3 linked regions of the Caenorhabditis elegans genome follow. The protein of the gene in region 2 interacts with the protein of the main gene of each other region in a pairwise test. Each region holds a gene or a part of one and is shown on either strand. Other genes may lie near its edges.

Region 1 (3,565 bases), on a different chromosome or scaffold from region 2:
GGTACGGTAGCTGAAAAGGTTCGTTCAGGACCACAACTTAATAAAATCAAATATAATTTCCATTTCAGTCCGCCTGCTGTATACATTTGGAAAGGATCTCGATATTGGAAATTAGACGAGAAAATGTATCATCGAAGAGTTGATGAAAGGTATCCAAAAGATACTGATCTGAATTGGGCGAGAGTTCCAAAAGGAGTACATTCTGCCTTCACTTATGAAAAAGAAATTCATCTTCTACGTGGAAATCAAGTTTTTCGAATGAATTCATCCCGATCTGTATTTGATATTGCTGATGGATATCCCCAACCTTTACAATCTTTTTTCGGATTCTGCCCTCGCAATGAGAAGCTTGTTCTGAATTCTTCTTCTTCACATTTTTCTTTGATCTATGCAACAATTACTATTTTGATACTCATCTTTTAAGATTTAAATCTCTCAATGGCAGATTCACTTGTAAAAACAGCACTGAAATGGGTTTTATTTAAAGTTTTAACTTGTTATTTTAACTGGTGAATACAAAAAATTATTAAAAATAAATGTGATGAAACATGAAAATTTTTGAATTAATGAGATAAAGTTCGGAATGAATCAGGATTATATGATACAACATGAAATCAAAATGAGTACAGATTAGAGATCATTAGATAAAGATTTTATGGTTGTTTTGATGTCATTTCAGCGTCGCGCATCGAACTGAAATCCGTTGAACCAGTGGCTCCACCTTGATAGTTTTGTGGCTCGAAAGTTTGATTGGAGTCACTATCAAAGTGATCGCCAGTGGAAAAATTGGAATCTTCGTTGATATCGAATTGTGGTGGTGGTTGGGTAACGCTGGTGGAATCCTGGGAATTCTCAGCAGATGGGACTTGATTGCTCTCCTCATCCACTTCTTTGACTTCCTTGATCTTTGGAGGAGCCATTATGTTTTGAGCGCTCACTGAAAAAGTTGTATTGAAAGTTTGGTTTTTTTTTTGAGAAATTCAAAACTTTTATATAGCAGAATATGTTATTAATTCATAATGCAGAGTCATTGAATTGTATCAAAAATATAAGTGTGAAGTTTTTTTTTTAATAATTACTATTTTAAAAAAGTATTTCATATAAATTTATATATAAATAGTTTCTAAATACCGAAATACGTGTTAAAATAAAAAATTACCCGGAACCCATTTGTAGATCCGAATATTTGTGTCCTTGATAAGAACTAACTTCTTTTCCCACCGACGAACTTTTTCCAATGAGTTGATAACCTGAAAATCTTAATATCAGTTTAGTTTTGGAAAAGTTGATTGTTTACCTTTCGGAGTTCATCTTTTGAGCGATTTCTTGTTTCAGCGCGATGAGATCTATTTGCTGAGTACATCTGAAACTTAAAAATTTAATAAATTTACAGAAAAATAAATAAAAAGAACGAAATACAATAAAACTGTTTAAATTCGAACAATCGAACGTTTTTGCCAAAACTGAACTCTGTCGCCTCTAATCTCTAATACGTGCCGGTAGAGCGCAGTAACTCATTGTTGTGTGTAGTCCTCTCGGACAATCTAATTTACTTGTTTCGCAATCAATTCCACGGCCATTTTGATGTTTCTAGCACGATTTATTACTTTAACCTATCATACATTTTGTTTATTCATTTTTCTAAATTTTTGCCGTTTGATCCTAAATATTTTAAATCAAATTCTGTTTTCTAGAAACTCTCAAATCTTGCGTCAAAATGTCATCTATTGGAAAAGAAGATATCTACGAGTCTGACGGAGCTGCAAGTCAAGTTCAAAAAAGTGAACCTGAAAATGACAATCCAACTCATCCGGATATCGAACTGGTTTGTATTTAATTAATTTAAATAATATAAATATTTAGTGAATTCTGATTTTTACAGATTTCGGTTGACGTTGACGAAGCTCTCAAAAAGTACAAAAACCGGGTACTGAACTTGACTTCAAGCGGTAATTTTAAAATAATATTACTTATCATCTTTTTTTTAAATTTAGATTTTTCTGACTCGATTGCTAAAAAGCGGCGACACGCATTTGGAAACAATCAATACGTATTGGAAGTTACTGGTGCAGGATTTTCGGGAACCGAGACTGCAGCCGAAAAACTGAATCGCATTTTGTACGAAGTCGCCGATCTGAATGAACAAATTCGTGCTGATGAAAATCTTAAAACGGATTTGCTCAACGCTGAGGTTCTTGAGAATCTAGAGAAAGAAGTGAAAACGTTGCAAGTGGCTCAGTCAAATGGAAAAACTGCACGAGTTGAGCATGATGTTGAGTTACCAAATGTTCGCACTGACTCGAAAGTGGCAACTCTTGAAAATAGGTTGAGAAGAATCGAACAAGTTATTGGAAGTTCGGTTATTCCATCAGCTCCCGTACTTGACACCATTGAAGATCTCAAACTCAGGTGAGATATCTTAAATTTAAAAAAATAAAAACGTATGAAAAATGTTTGAGATGCGAAACGCTTAATCATTCGTATGTCTCCGGTCTTGAACAACGTTTGAATATGATGCTTACCAAACTTGAAAAAATCGACGAGACACGCGCCAACAATGATATCGACGAGAATCTTGACAAGAAAGTTGATGAAATTCTGGAGCTTATGCAAAAATGGGATGTCGCTTGCTCATCTCTTCCAAGCAATGTTAATAAGGTTAAAGCATTGAACCGTCTTCACGAACAAGTTCAACACTTTGCCGGTGGACTATCACATTTGAAAACTATCAGAGAAAAACTCGAAAAGGAAGTCGCGCAAGGAAGAGAAGCGATTATCGAGTATGAGGTGTGTTTTTTAATTGTTTCGAGGAATATAAACAAATTAAATTATTGAAATTACAGTCCCAAGGAAAGCAAGAAATCGGGTCAGTGGTTGAAAAGCTGAAGCTTCTCGAGGCAAAAGTGGCAGATTTGAAGTGATTTTATCGACCTTTCTAGAGAAACAATTCATAATTTATTGTGTACGGACAATGCAACATTAACTAATCTGTTCGATATATTTATGTGCTTTATTTTTGCTTTCCATATTTCCGAATGAACCAATCTCTATTCAGCAATTGAAGGCCATACTCAGATAACGAACTCCCCATCCGACATTCTCGTCCTGAAATTTTCATATTTCTAAGTCAGATTTTTCGCGAAAACTCACATTAACCGCTCTGATAATCATATGAAAATGATCTTCGAATCCAAACCAAGATTGTGATGTAACATGGAATTCAACCGTCATATGAGAAGAATCTTTAGTCATTATTGCAAAGATAATACGAATTTCAGGATTGTAATGAGTTCTTGTATATCTATCGAAATATGATTTAAATCTGGCAAAATCCAATTCCTCTTGAATATGACAATCAGTTCCTTTTACTTGATCATCATAATAATTGAAATGCTCAATCATTTCTGTTTTATTTCGGAACATTCGTCGAAAAGTTCCCATGAAATATTGCAAGAAGTGAAAAGCATTTTTAGTTCTCACCATCTTCGGGAACATTGATCGTGGGTCACTGATAAAGTTCTGAAATATTTCGGTTGGTCCCGACATGAAAACTCAAGTCTTGATA
Region 2 (7,184 bases):
CTCATTCTTGTAGGAAATCAACTGAAACTTCAGATTTGCACAGATTTTATAACATTAAATCATCAAAAAATCACTCAAAGGTAACATTTTATTACAGACTTTTCATTACTGGGCACTTTTCAAAAATGCTGTACAAATGGCGCAGTGGGATTTTCGACGAAAAAGCTTCCAGTCAAAGGACCGTGGTTCGAGTCTCCACTGTGGCAAACTTTTTTCCATAGTGTTGTTAGGCTAAACTTTCAATTCTCAACCCAAAAATTATAATATCAATTCCTAAACAGCAGAGAAAAACCTTGAAAAATAAGAATTTGAGAATAATCAGCGGAATATCGGCTGAAAATGTAGATTTTCTCAGTTTTTAAAGCCTTAAATCGTCAAGAACTCAATAAAATTCAAATTTACCCGAAATTATGTCATTTCTGGGAAATTGTCAAAAATGTCCAAATGGAGCAGTGGGATTTTCGACGAAAAAGCTTCCAGTCAAAAGGCCATGGTTCGAGTCCCCGTAATGGCAACATTTTTTTCACAATGCTGATCTCTCAAAGCTTGAAATAAATAATTTATTCTCACTAATAATGTGAATTTCAGGGGAAAAATTGTATGTCGTGTCTGTTGTCAAAAAATTTGAGCCAAAGTTCGAAAAAAAAAGTATGGGCTCAGAGAGCTCTGAAGGGGAAAAATCACATAAAAAGGGCGAAAGGAAGGCACATTTTGGGGCGAGAAACGGGGGAAATAAAAGTGAAAATTGTGCGCAAAAAAGTGAAGAGAAAGCCGACAAATTTGATTAAAAATTAGGAGAAAAAGGGGAAAATAAATAAATTAAGCGGTTTTGGTTGTGTGTGTGTGTGGTTTTAGCGAGAATATAAATAATATAATTATGTATAAAAATGGTCACATTTTGTGGTTTTTTTTTCTGAAAAAATCGAGGAAAAATGGCTGAAAAGAGTTTTTCAGTCCTCTCCACTGTCCGAATCATTTGCGTCGTGCTGTTTCGGATGATAACTGCCGTCGGAGCTTCCGTTCATTTTCATCGGGCGCTGAATTCCACCTGTAGCGGCTGCGGTGGCGGCCGACATCTCACTGGCGTTCGGTGTTCCTTGTTGTGACGGTCCTCGTGACAGTGTGTTTCGTTGGTTGGCAGGTTTTACTGGAAAATATTGGGATTTTTTGAATTTTCAAAAAAAAAATAAATTTGAAATTTTTTTTTCGAAAAAAAATTTCTGAAAATTTTGTTTTTTATAATTACTACAGAATTTAAAATCAGCTCGCTGAGAGCTTCCAAACAAGTATAATCATGACTAGGCTATGTTTATTTTGAACATTTTCCGAAATTTTGGGTCCCGCCACGAAAACTGGGTTACTGTAGGTTGGGATTTTAGTGGGGGACCCAGTTTTCGCGATTTCATTTAGATTTTTCGATTTCAGCTTACCGAGCTTTCAAATAAGTATAATTATGACTAGGTTGGCGGACATTTAAAATTTTCCAAAATGTTGGGTCCCACCGCGAAAGCCAATTTCGTGGTCGTGCCCCAAAATTGAAATTTTAGATTTTTGTTAAATAATTCAACTTCCGCTCGCCTAGAGCTTTAAAATAAACATAATCAAGACTAGGTTATGCGAAATTTTAAATTTTCGGACCCCACCACGAAAACTGGGTTACTGTAGGCAGCGATTTTCGTGGTGATACCCAATTTTCGCTATTTCAATTAGATTTTTCGATTTCATCTTACCAAGAGCTTCAAAACTAGTATAATAATGACTAGGTTTGGCGAAAATCTAATTTTTTCCAAAATTTTGGGTCTCATCGCGAAAATCAGTTTCGTGGTCGGGCCCAAAAATTGAAACTTCTCAAATTTTTTAGTAAATTCGTTTTCAGCTCATCAAGGGCTTTCAAATAAGTATAAACACGACAAGATTGCGTCACATGCGAAAATTTTGGGTCCCATCGCGAAAATGGGTTACTGTAGTTTATCATTTTCTTGGCGAGACCCGAATTTTCCAAGTTTGACAGAATATAGCCATGATTATACGCATTTGAAAGCTCTCGGTGTGCTGAATTCAAATTTTCTAATGAAATTTTTTAAAAAGTGGGTTCTCGCAATTTTCGCGGTGAGACCCAATTTTTTTCAAAATAATCTTAACCTAGTCATGATTATACTTATTTCAAAGCTCTCGGCGTGCTGAATTCAAATTTCCGGATTATATACCAGTAATAATCAAGTTATGAGCATTGGCGACCATCATATCAGTGACCTGATCCAGCGTCTTTCCGAGAACCTCAATTCCATTCACCTCGAGCACCTGAAAACCGGAATTTTTAGATTAAAAACTCTGAAAATTCCATTAAAAACCTCGTCATTAACACCAAGAAGGCCTGTGGACTCGGCGAGCCCACCATCGACAAGCCGGGAAATGAAAATTCCTGAAACTTTGACGACGCCTCGTTCTGTCACTCGAACCGATGTTCCGTCACTGAAAAAAGAATTGCAGATTTTTGGGATTTTCTGGCAAGAAATCTGAAATTTCCAGAAAAATCGATACCGAATATAGAATCCAAGTGGTCGTTCTTGTCCGTGCTTGCAGAGACGGACACGGCGATGAGCTTCTGGCACAATGTCCACGTCGATGATTGCAGAGACCTGCAAAATTGAAAATTTTTAAAAATTAATGGGAAATTTGAATTCAGCTCGTTAAGGGCTTCAAAATAAGTATAATCATGACTAGGTTTTGCCAATTTTGAAAATTCTCCTAAAATTTGGGTCCCGCCACGAAAAGTGACGAAATTTTAGAAAATTACTGCGAAATCTGAATTCAGCTCACTGGGAGCTTTCAAACAAGTATAATGGAATGACTAGGTTCCGCGAACTTTGAAAATTGTTGGTCTCGCCACGAAAATGGGATTACTGTATGTTGGCATTTTCGTGGTGGTGGGATCCAATTTTTGAGATTTTTATCAATATTTTTGAATTGGGAGCACTGTCAGCTTTAAAACTAGTATAATCATGGGTTCCGTTAACTTTGAAATATGCGGGTCCCACCGCGAAATTGGGGTTACTGTAGGTTGGCACTTTCGTGGCGGGACCAGATTTTTGCAATTTCATGAGTTCAACCGAATTCAGCTCACCGAGAGCTTTCAAATAAGTATAATCATGACTGGGCTCCGGAAAATTTGAAGATTTCCAAAATTTTGGGTCCCGCAGCGAAAATTTCCTTCGTGGTGGGACCAAAAATTGAAATTTTCAAAATTTTTTCCGGAATTTGAATTCAACTCATCAATAGCTTTCAAATAAGTATAATCATGACTAGGTTCTGCGAAATTTGAAATTTTTGGGTCCCATCACGAAACGGGATTACTGTGGTTTCGATTTTTCGTGGCGAGACCCAACTTTTTTCAAATCCATCGTAACCCGGTCATGATTATACTTATTTCGAAGCTCTCAGCGAGCTGAATTCAAAAATTCCACTTTTTTCGCTGTGAGACCCATTACCTGTCGAAAATCTTCGGGATTCGAGATTGAATAACTGCGTTTCGGTGGTTTTTGTGCCATAAGTGATGAAATTCCCTTCCATCGTTTATCAGAGTCTGTACCATAACCATATTTCTCTTCCCATGATTCACCGCGGCGTTGAATGAGCAAACGGAGCAGTGGGCGAGCCGATTCGAACGATTTTCGGAGGTTCTGCAAAAAAAATAATGGTAGTTTTGGGATTTTATCGATTTTTGGGATTTTTCTAGGAATTTATCGATTCTTTTTGTGATTTTTATTGATTTTTTGGGGATTTTTTACCGAATTTTTGTGATTTTTCAACAGATTTTTATCGATTTTTTATCGATTTTTTCCGATTTCTTGGGGTTTTGTATTGATTTTTTAAAGCGATTTTTGAGTTTTTTTGTAATTTTTTATCGATTCTTTTTGTGATTTTTATTGATTTTTTGGGGATTTTTCACCGAATTTTTGTGATTTTTGTTTCAATTTTTTGAGACTTTTTTCGATTTTTTTAAATCAATTTTTTGTAGTTTAGGACTTTTTATCGATTTTTTAAGATGTTTAGTGATTTTTTAGCGAAATTTTGTGATTTTTATCGATAAGTGATGTTTTAGTAATTTTCAGCATTTTTTAGTGAAAAATATCAATTTTAGGTCATTTTTACTCGATTTTTCTCGATTTTTTCACCGAAAAAATCAATTTTCTTCAGTTTTCCCTACTAACATTCAGATTTTTATAGACTTTTTATCGATTTTTATCGATTTTTTTTTGAGATTTTTATCGATTTTTTGAGTTTTTAAATCAATTTTTAATTGATTTTTTGTGATTTTTTTCGACTTTTCTGTGAGTTTTCAAATCGATCGATTTTTTGTCCTCGTAGGAGACACCCGAATATTAAATCGATTTTTTTATTATTATTATTTTTATTTTTTAACGATTTTTGAGCTGTTTTAAAAATCGATTTTGACTAACTTTAAGCTGAAAAAATCAATTTTCGAGACATTTTAATTGAATTTTTAGCATTTTTTAGTGAAAAATATCAATTTTATGTCATTTTTACTCGATTTTTTCGTTTTTTTTTTCACTGAAAAAATCAATTTTCTTCAGTTTTCCGCTACTAACATCGTCATTTGTGATTGGTAGAAGATCACCGCCAGTCGAGTTGTAGCACAGTGTGAATTGGACACTTTCCAGGTGATGAAGCTTCTCGACAAGGCTGAAAATATCGATTTTTACTTGAAAAATTGAACTTTTACGGGAAAATTGCTTCAAAAATCGAGTTTTCAGGTAAAATATCATTTTCCGCTCGTTTTTGGTAAAAAAAAACACAAAAAAAAAGACGAATTTTTCGATTTTCCGGCTGAAAATGGCGAAAATTCGATTTACGCATGATTTTAGCCCTAAAAATGCCGATTTTGGCCAAGTTTGGTTTGGAAAATAGATTTTTTAGGGTTTTCAAGGTAAAAATCGGAAAAAATCTGATTTTTTCAAGTAAAAAAAATCATTTTCCGCGTATTTTAGGACAAAAAACGCCGAATCCTTGGATTTTTCAGCTGAAAATCGTTGAAAATCCGATTTTCTGAATTTTAAGGGATTTTATGCCTAAAAATGACAATTTCAGTAACTTTTGGGTAGAGAAATCAATTTTTAACGTTTTTCTACGTCAAAAACATGGGTTTTGACGTATTTTAGGTAAAAAAAAAACGCTGAATTTTTCGATTTTTCGGCTAAAAATGGCCAAAAATCACCTCCGGAACCCATCGTAAGAGACACCAGACGCAGAATGCATTGGTATTGAGAAACGACGCCATTCAGAATCAAATTTCGATTTGACTTGAAGTGTTGAATGATGATTTTGATGGTAGGAGCCGTTGTAGGACATCTGAAAATTTGGATTTTTCGGGTTTTTTGAGCTGAAAAACGCGATTTTTAACAGTTTTCAGCTGGAAAATTGGAAATTCCGGCTTTTTTTGAGTAGAAAAATCGCATTTTTCGACGTTTTCCATACTTTTAAGCTGAAAAATTATGATTTTCGCAAATTAAAACTCACAATTACAAGTTACAGGTGCAGCTCCGCGTTGAGCCGGAAATAATGCACAATTTTCGTGGGAAATATCGATTTTTTCGGCTGAAAATTGGATTTTTTCACATTTTTGAACCTTTTTTAAGTGAAAAAATTATTAAGTGAATAATTTTTGAATTTATTAATCAAAAATCGGATTTTAAATAATTATTCAATGGAAAAAATTGAATTTTAATTTAAAAGTTAGAGTTTTGAACAGTTTTCAACGGAAAAAAAAACTGAATTTGAGTTGGAAAATAGACATTTTTAGGAAATTTGAGTAGAAAAATTGAATAAAAATTCCAAAAAATGGCAATTTTGAACATTTTTCTAGCGGAAAATGAAATTTCAAGCTAAAAATCGCATTTTTTGCGATTTTTACAAAAAAAACCTTCAAAACACCAAATTTCCGCTGAAAATTGAGTAAAAATGAGTCACAAAACTCTCCAAAAAAGTTTGATAAAAACTGATGACTCATCGCCAAAAATTTTCAATAAAAAATCGATAAAAAAGCTGATAAAAACAGCGAAAAATTCAAAAAAAAAGGTTAAAACTAAAACAAATCTTTACGCAAAAAAATGGAAAAAATTGAAACGAAAAACCGTGAAAATCAACAAAAACTGGGGGGCAAAAAAATGGATAAATTACGGGATTTTTCGCCGAAAAAATGGCGAAAAATCACAGAAAAATGCAATAAATTGAGGGGAAATCCTATTCTTCATCGTCTTCTTCTTCTTCTTCGGAATCCATTTCAAGACCTTCGAGTTCCTGGAAAAAATGGGTTTTTTTGAGTGGAAATTTGAGATTTTTTGGGGTTTTTTAGGCTAAAAAATGGGATTTTTGGAGGTTTTTTATGTTGAAAATCGGAAAATTTGATCATTTTAGGCAGTAAAATCGAATTTTCATCTTGAAATTAATCAATTTTATGAGAAAAACTCGAAATTTCGAACAATTTTTGGAATAAAATTGCAATTTTTCGCGTTTTCAAGTAGCTTTTCACTGAAAAATGTGGGAATTTTGGCGTTTTTTCCATAGAAAATCGGAATTTTAGTGAGAAAATTTCAATTTTTTGATAGAAAATATGAAGTTTATCACAAAAAATTCACTTTTAAAGTGGAAAATCGTGAATTTTCAGCCAAAAATGCCAAATTTTGTAAATTTTGAAGCTTTTTCTTCGGAAAAATCCAGATTTTTTGCATTTTTTTTAGCTCAAAAACAGAGTTTTCCATGGAAAAATAAATTTTGAGTAAAAAATGTCTAATTTTTCAGTGAAAAAATGGGGATTTTAGCGAATTTTTACATTTTTCCAGGTTTTAAAAGGGAACGTTTCAAAAAAGAAAAAAAAATTTTCGGATTTTCACCGAAAAAAACTCGAAAATCGACAATTTCCAATGAATTTGCATGTTTTTCATGCAATTTTTTAATAGAAAATCGTAAATTTTCAGTAAAAAATCGATTTTTCAGTGGTTTTTTCCAGAAACCTCATTATCAAAGAGGCTCTCATCAATTTCGACTTCATCTTGTGCTCCAATAAGTGTGACGTCAGAGAGATTGAGTGTAGCGTCACGAAGGAATAGTTGACGTCCTGGAAAATATTGGTTTTTTTTGAAATTTTCAGCGATTTTCAGACGGAA
Region 3 (5,876 bases), 1.7 Mb from region 2:
CGGCAAACCGGCAATTTGCCGACAATGAAAAATTCGGGAAACTTGGCCAACCGGAATATTGCCGAAAATAAAAATTTCCGGCAAGTCGGACAAACCGGCAATTTGCCGGAATTGAACATTTTCGACAACTCGGCAAATTCCGAAATTGAAACTGTCCGGCAAATCGGCAAACCAGCAATTTGCTGAAATTGAAAAATTCGGGAAACTTGGCAAACCGGAATATTGCCGAAAATAAAAATTTCCGGCAAGTCGGACAAACCGGCAATTTGCCGGAATTGAACATTTTCGACAACTCGGCAAATTCCGAAATTGAAACTGTCCGGCAAATCGGCAAACCAGCAATTTGCTGAAATTGAAAAATTCGGGAAACTTGGCAAACCGGAATATTGCCGAAAATAAAAATTTCCGGCAAGTCGGACAAACCGGCAATTTGCCGGAATTGAACATTTTCGACAACTCGGCAAATTCCGAAATTGAAACTGTCCGGCAAATCGGCAAACCAGCAATTTGCTGAAATTGAAAAATTCGGGAAACTTGGCAAACCGGAATATTGCCGAAAATAAAAATTTCCGGCAAGTCGGACAAACCGGCAAATTGCCGGAATTGAACATTTTCGACAACTCGGCAAATTCCGAAATTGAAACTGTCCGGCAAATCGGCAAACCAGCAATTTGCTGAAATTGAAAATTTTCGACAAATCGGCAAACTGCCGGAATTGAAAATTTCCGGCAACTCGGCAAACCGGCAATTTGCCAAAAATGAAAAATTCTGGAAACTTGGCAAACCGGAAAATTGCCGAAAATAAAAATTTCCGGCAAGTCGGACAAACCCGCAAATTGCCGGAATTGAAAATTTCCGGCAAACCGGCAAATTCCGAAATTGAAATTGTCCGGCAACTCGGCAAACCGAAAATTTGCCGATTTGCCCAGTTTTTTTTGCTATTACCGCCCACCCCTGAGCTATATACAAATGTTGTTTTAAAAAATTTATAAGACCGTGTAACAAATTGCTTGTCAGTTGGCAGTTTTTGGGGATTTTGTCTAAATACACTTATATCATAAGAAAAAAAATCCAAAAAATCCAAACATATCATAATAAAGCACTCCAAAATTTTTTAGATTTTCCATAATTTCCGGTCAAAGTTTTGGCACATTGCCAAAATTTTGAAAACTACGAGATTTTGAGGAAATTTATAAAAATGTCGCATGTTTCGACCCCTACAATGTTTTAATTCAAATAATTTAAACAAAATTGTATTAAAAAGTATTAAAAAAATTGGAAATTTTTTTTTTTTTTTTTGAATCAATCGACCTCCAAAATAATGAGTGGCAAAACTGAGTAATCACTACAGTCACTACTTTTTGACAGTAAATAAAAAATTTTCAAAAATTTTTTGAAAAGTTTTATCATGATATTTGGTCATTTTTGGACCAAAGGAGTGGTTTTTAATAATTTCCCCACTGGCGCTACTCCACCTTTAATTACCGTATAGTATACGTGCATAGTATTATGGTACTAGTTAATACCCTAACTCACGGTAACAAATTCAAAAAAAAAAGAGCAAAAAATTCAAATAATTTCAACAAATCGATCTTTGTAGACTCCTCGATCTTCGTCTCTATCTCTCATTCCTCATTGTCTTCTCCTCACCATCATCTGCCGGGCAGATTCTGCCCCCGCAGTAGCCTGCTCTCTTCTGCCGGTGAGAGCATATGTTGTAATATATTTCTGTTGCTGCTTCTTGCTTTCCTCTCCCTTCATACACATCAGTGTACCACTGCTGTGTCGATTTTCCTCTACGTTTTCCTTTACACGAATTTGAACTAACACGATTTTTTTCTTTATTTGTTGTATTATACTTTTTTATTTAGACACCTAGAATTTAGGTGCACACTAGTTAAATATTGAAAATGCCATTATTAACCTCTTACTCAGTCTCACAGAAAAACCCAAAAATGTTCACCTCCTCCTCCTACTCAAAATTCCAGATGACTATATCCCCTCAACCCAGCCATCAACAATTCGAATCTTATCAATGGACTACGGAATCTCGTAGTAGTCAACAGAGACATGGCACCGGGACCCCGTCTCAGGATGGTCGGCTCTCTGCGATTCCGGATCCTGTGGAGCGCCACGTGGCCCGGTGGCGTAGTGAGAGCAGGAATTCCAATAAGGATAAGGTGTTCCGTAATGATGAGGAGTTTAGTCAACGTGAGTCGAAGTTAGGGGGTCCTCTGGGGGGGGGGGGGGGGGGTATGTTAAACTAATGGGAAATGTTAAACTAAAGAATTGAGGTGTAATACTCAATTAACTTTGAAAATAACAAAATTTTGTGTTAACTATACTAGAATGTCAAAATTAACAGAAAATGATTGGATTTTACCCAAAAATGGTCCAATTTTGACTGAAAACAGTCGGATTTAGACCAAAAATTGTCCAAAATTCGCCCAAAAATCTATCATTTTTGGTTTAAAAAGGTCGGATTTTGACCGAAAATAGTCCAGTTTTGATTGAAAATAGACCAATTTTAACCAAAAAATGGTTTCATTTCGATCACAAATTATCTAATTTTGACCAAACAATTGTTATGTTTTTACCAATAAATGGTTTGAATTTGACCAAAATGGTCCAATTTTGACTGAAAACAGTCGGATTTAGACCAAAAATTGTCCAAAATTCGCCCAAAAATCTATCATTTTTGGCTTAAAAAGGTCGGATTTTGACCGAAAATAGTCCAGTTTTGATTGAAAATAGTCCAATTTTAACCAAAAAAATGGTTTCATTCCGATCACAAATTATCTAATTTTGACCAAACAATTGTTATGTTTTTACCAATAAATGGTTTGAATTTGACCAAAATGGTCCAATTTTGACCAAAAATTTACCGATTTTTAACAAAAAAAAGCCGGATTTGAACTAAAAATTGACCGATTTTAACCAAAAATTGACCGATTTTAACCAAAAATTGACCGATTTTAACCAAAAATTGACCGATTTTCACCAAAAATTGTCTGATTTTGACCAAAAATTGACCGATTTTCTCCAAAAATTATCTGATTTTGACCAAAAAGTAGTCCGATTTTGACAAAAATTGCACGTTTTTGACCAATTTTGACTGAAAACAGTCGGATTTAGACCAAAAATTGTCCAAAATTCGCCCAAAAATCTATCATTTTTGGCTTAAAAAGGTCGGATTTTGACCGAAAATAGTCCAGTTTTGATTGAAAATAGTCCAATTCCGATTTTGATCAGAAAAGTTGGATTTTGACCAAAAATTGTACGATTTGGATCAAAAACGGTCCCTATTAATTTGCTAGTTTTGAGCAGTTAAGCATTAGGTTTAGGCTTAGGCTTAGGCTTTGACTTCGGTTTAGGCTTAGGCTTAGGCTTTGACTTCGGATTAGGCTCAGGCTTAGGCTTAGGCTTAATTTCTATACCTAATTTTCTTATTTCCGTGCCATTTTTTAGCTAGACCTTCCCACAGGAATTTCGGATTTTCAGCTAAATTTTGATTCTCAACATCAGATTTTATTCAAAATTTGCTTATAAAAGAGTCATTTCCAACTTTCTTATGCAGCCGTTTTTTAAGGAAATACCCAAAAAAAAAGTGGTGCACATTTTTAAGCAACAAACCTCTCAGATCATCAAAATCTCTCTGTCTCTATCCCTTACATTTTGCAGAAGACGAGATCGTTAATGGAACACTTACCGCGTTGAAAAACGATGTCGAGCAGACGACCGAGATCATTCGTCGCAAACAAGAACAGATGGTATCGATTTTTTCAGATCTTGTGCGGGAATACATTGAAATTTGTTTCAGAGAATGGAACGTCGTCAATTCCAAACCGAGATGGAAGTCAATGGTAGAATCTCGATTGATCCGACCGACGATTGGCTGGCCGCAAGGTTGAAAGCTGTTAGCTCGGATGACATGAATCAGCAGCTTGTCAAGCTGAAACAGGATCAGAGTAAGATCTCGTTAGAACCCTTAATAGGTTCAGATCGCATCTATAATCTGCTACATAATTCTTTCTAGGCTTTAGGGCACATCTAGATTCCAGCTAGGTCTATCCATAGCATTCGATCATATTTAGACTCCGTATTATGCTTCAGACATTATCCAAAGCCTATGCTAGGCCTCAGACTCCACCTAGACCCCATGTAAGCTTCAGAAGCCATTTTAGCTTCAGTCCCGTCAAGGCCCTTCCTAAGCATCAGATCCAACATATGCCCTATCCTAAGCATCAGAACCACTTCTCCCCCATTCTGAGCCTTTGACTCATTTAGACGTTGTCCTTGGCTTCAGGCCCCTCTAGACCATATTCTGAGCTCTAGATTCCAGCTAGGTCTATCCAAAACCTTCGATCTTACCTAGGCTCCGTATTATGCTTCAGTCCTCATTCAAGTCCTATCCTAAGCCCCTGATCCCATCTAGGCCCCATATCAAGCTTCAGGCCCCTCTATGCCCTTCCTAAGCATCAGATCTCATATAGACCCTCCCTAACCCTTTCTAAGCTTCAAGCCTAATTCAGACCTTACCTAGACCTCCAACAATAGCTTTAGGGCCCAACTGGACCTCCTCCCCCAGCTTCAGGTCTGTTCTTAACTTTCACCGAATCCATTTTCAGGACAAAACGCGGTGACCGACACATTGGCGGCCCTTGTTTACGATGTCAACGCCACGACTGAAGTTTTGCGTCGTGGACAACGTGGACGTGACGGTGAAGATGGAAATAAGAAGAAGAAGGAGGAAATCGAGTACACCTTGAGACTTACACCGGCACCAGAGGAACAAATCCCGCAGAGGCCAAAGATTCGTGAGTTTTCAGAACTTGGACCAAAAAATGTAGAATTCGAAAAATTCCAGCAGAGGACGACAATATGGAGACAGACGACTACTCCCGCCAATACGGAGTCCAAATGTCCGAGGAGACCGATAGCCTGCGCCGCCGCCGCGCCCGAAGCACAACTCCCCGCCGAACGCTCCACATCTCCGGCTCCCCACCGCCACCGGCCGCCGCAGTCTGCGCTTACTGCAGTGAAGAAATCGACGGCGCGATTCTGACAGCGTTGGCGCCAAACTCGGAACGGGCACAGAAATTCCATACCTATCATTTCATGTGCACATATTGTCAGAAGGCACTCAACATGCATGGAACCTACAGAGAACATGATCTGAAGCCATATTGTCATGATTGCTTCTACAAGTTGTATAATGGATTGCAATACGCTCCGGATGATCATCAAGCTTCCATTGAGAAACTCATTTAAATCACTACACATTTTGTTTAGTAATGATATATATGTGTGTTTATCTGTTATCTTGCAAAATATACACGAATTATGAAAAAAATCCTAATAATAATCAAAGATTTTCTTAAATTCAGATTCATGTGTGTGAAATAATGGGGAAAACCATCAAAATTCATTGAATTCTTGCAAACTATGTGTTAAAATAGTAAAGGTTATAGTTCTCTTAACTGATCTGAACTATGTGGAAAATTGAGCTAGGCACTCTAAAGCGAGCAAGCGTATTTTAAATACCTACTATGTCGATATTGAAACATATGTATAGCTTATATTAAATACCAATAGCAATGTTAAAAACTTATAGCGTATATTAAAATTCATAACGATATTAAAGATCTATGGCGTATATTATGAACCTATGGGGGTATTTAGAACTTACAGTGTATATTAAATACTTATGTATAGCGTATATTAAAGAACTATAGCAAATATAAATACCTATAGTGTATATTAAAAACCTATAGCGAATATAAAATACCTAAAGTGTATATTAAGAACCTATAGCGTATATTAAAATTTATAACGATATTAAAGACCTACAGCAGTGTATATTAAATACTTATGTA

The links.
Region 1: the proteins of par-6 (region 2) and dnc-2 interact in a two-hybrid assay, tested with the Caenorhabditis elegans proteins (3 studies listed by BioGRID, with this or other methods).
Region 3: the proteins of par-6 (region 2) and unc-95 interact in binary tests that used the Caenorhabditis elegans proteins (3 or more experiments, as listed by UniProt).

Annotation. Positions count from the first base shown.
Region 1 is NC_003281.10:5,923,884-5,927,448, reverse strand, and holds dnc-2 (putative dynactin subunit 2), read left to right. Parts: upstream 1-1,694; 5' UTR 1,695-1,717; coding exon 1,718-1,825; intron 1,826-1,882; coding exon 1,883-1,949; intron 1,950-1,994; coding exon 1,995-2,409; intron 2,410-2,459; coding exon 2,460-2,787; intron 2,788-2,843; coding exon 2,844-2,921; 3' UTR 2,922-3,051; downstream 3,052-3,565. Other genes in the region: zmp-1 (Matrix metalloproteinase-A), read left to right, coding at 69-423; bcl-7 (BCL7-like protein), read right to left, coding at 654-937, 1,160-1,250, 1,298-1,363; C28H8.2 (uncharacterized protein), read right to left, coding at 3,052-3,105, 3,151-3,519.
Region 2 is NC_003279.8:12,667,812-12,674,995, reverse strand, and holds par-6 (Partitioning defective protein 6), read right to left. Parts: upstream 5,617-7,184; 5' UTR 5,539-5,616; intron 5,371-5,538; coding exon 5,237-5,370; intron 4,705-5,236; coding exon 4,611-4,704; intron 3,681-4,610; coding exon 3,489-3,680; intron 2,742-3,488; exon of another isoform or gene 2,676-2,741; intron 2,640-2,675; coding exon 2,542-2,639; intron 2,473-2,541; coding exon 2,352-2,472; intron 2,302-2,351; coding exon 2,208-2,301; intron 1,148-2,207; coding exon 951-1,147; 3' UTR 549-950; downstream 1-548. Other genes in the region: T26E3.4 (RWD domain-containing protein), read right to left, coding at 6,262-6,318, 7,032-7,135. UniProt on the Caenorhabditis elegans protein: Necessary for apicobasal and anterior-posterior asymmetries associated with cell adhesion and gastrulation during the first few cell cycles of embryogenesis. Required for localizing/ maintaining par-3 at the cell periphery.
Region 3 is NC_003279.8:14,380,850-14,386,725, reverse strand, and holds unc-95 (LIM domain-containing protein unc-95), read left to right. Parts: upstream 1-1,988; coding exon 1,989-2,211; intron 2,212-3,339; exon of another isoform or gene 3,340-3,427; intron 3,428-3,681; coding exon 3,682-3,770; intron 3,771-3,820; coding exon 3,821-3,968; intron 3,969-4,628; coding exon 4,629-4,817; intron 4,818-4,867; coding exon 4,868-5,271; 3' UTR 5,272-5,366; downstream 5,367-5,876. UniProt on the Caenorhabditis elegans protein: Required for the assembly and integrity of muscle dense bodies, which establish the adhesion sites of the muscle cells to the extracellular matrix.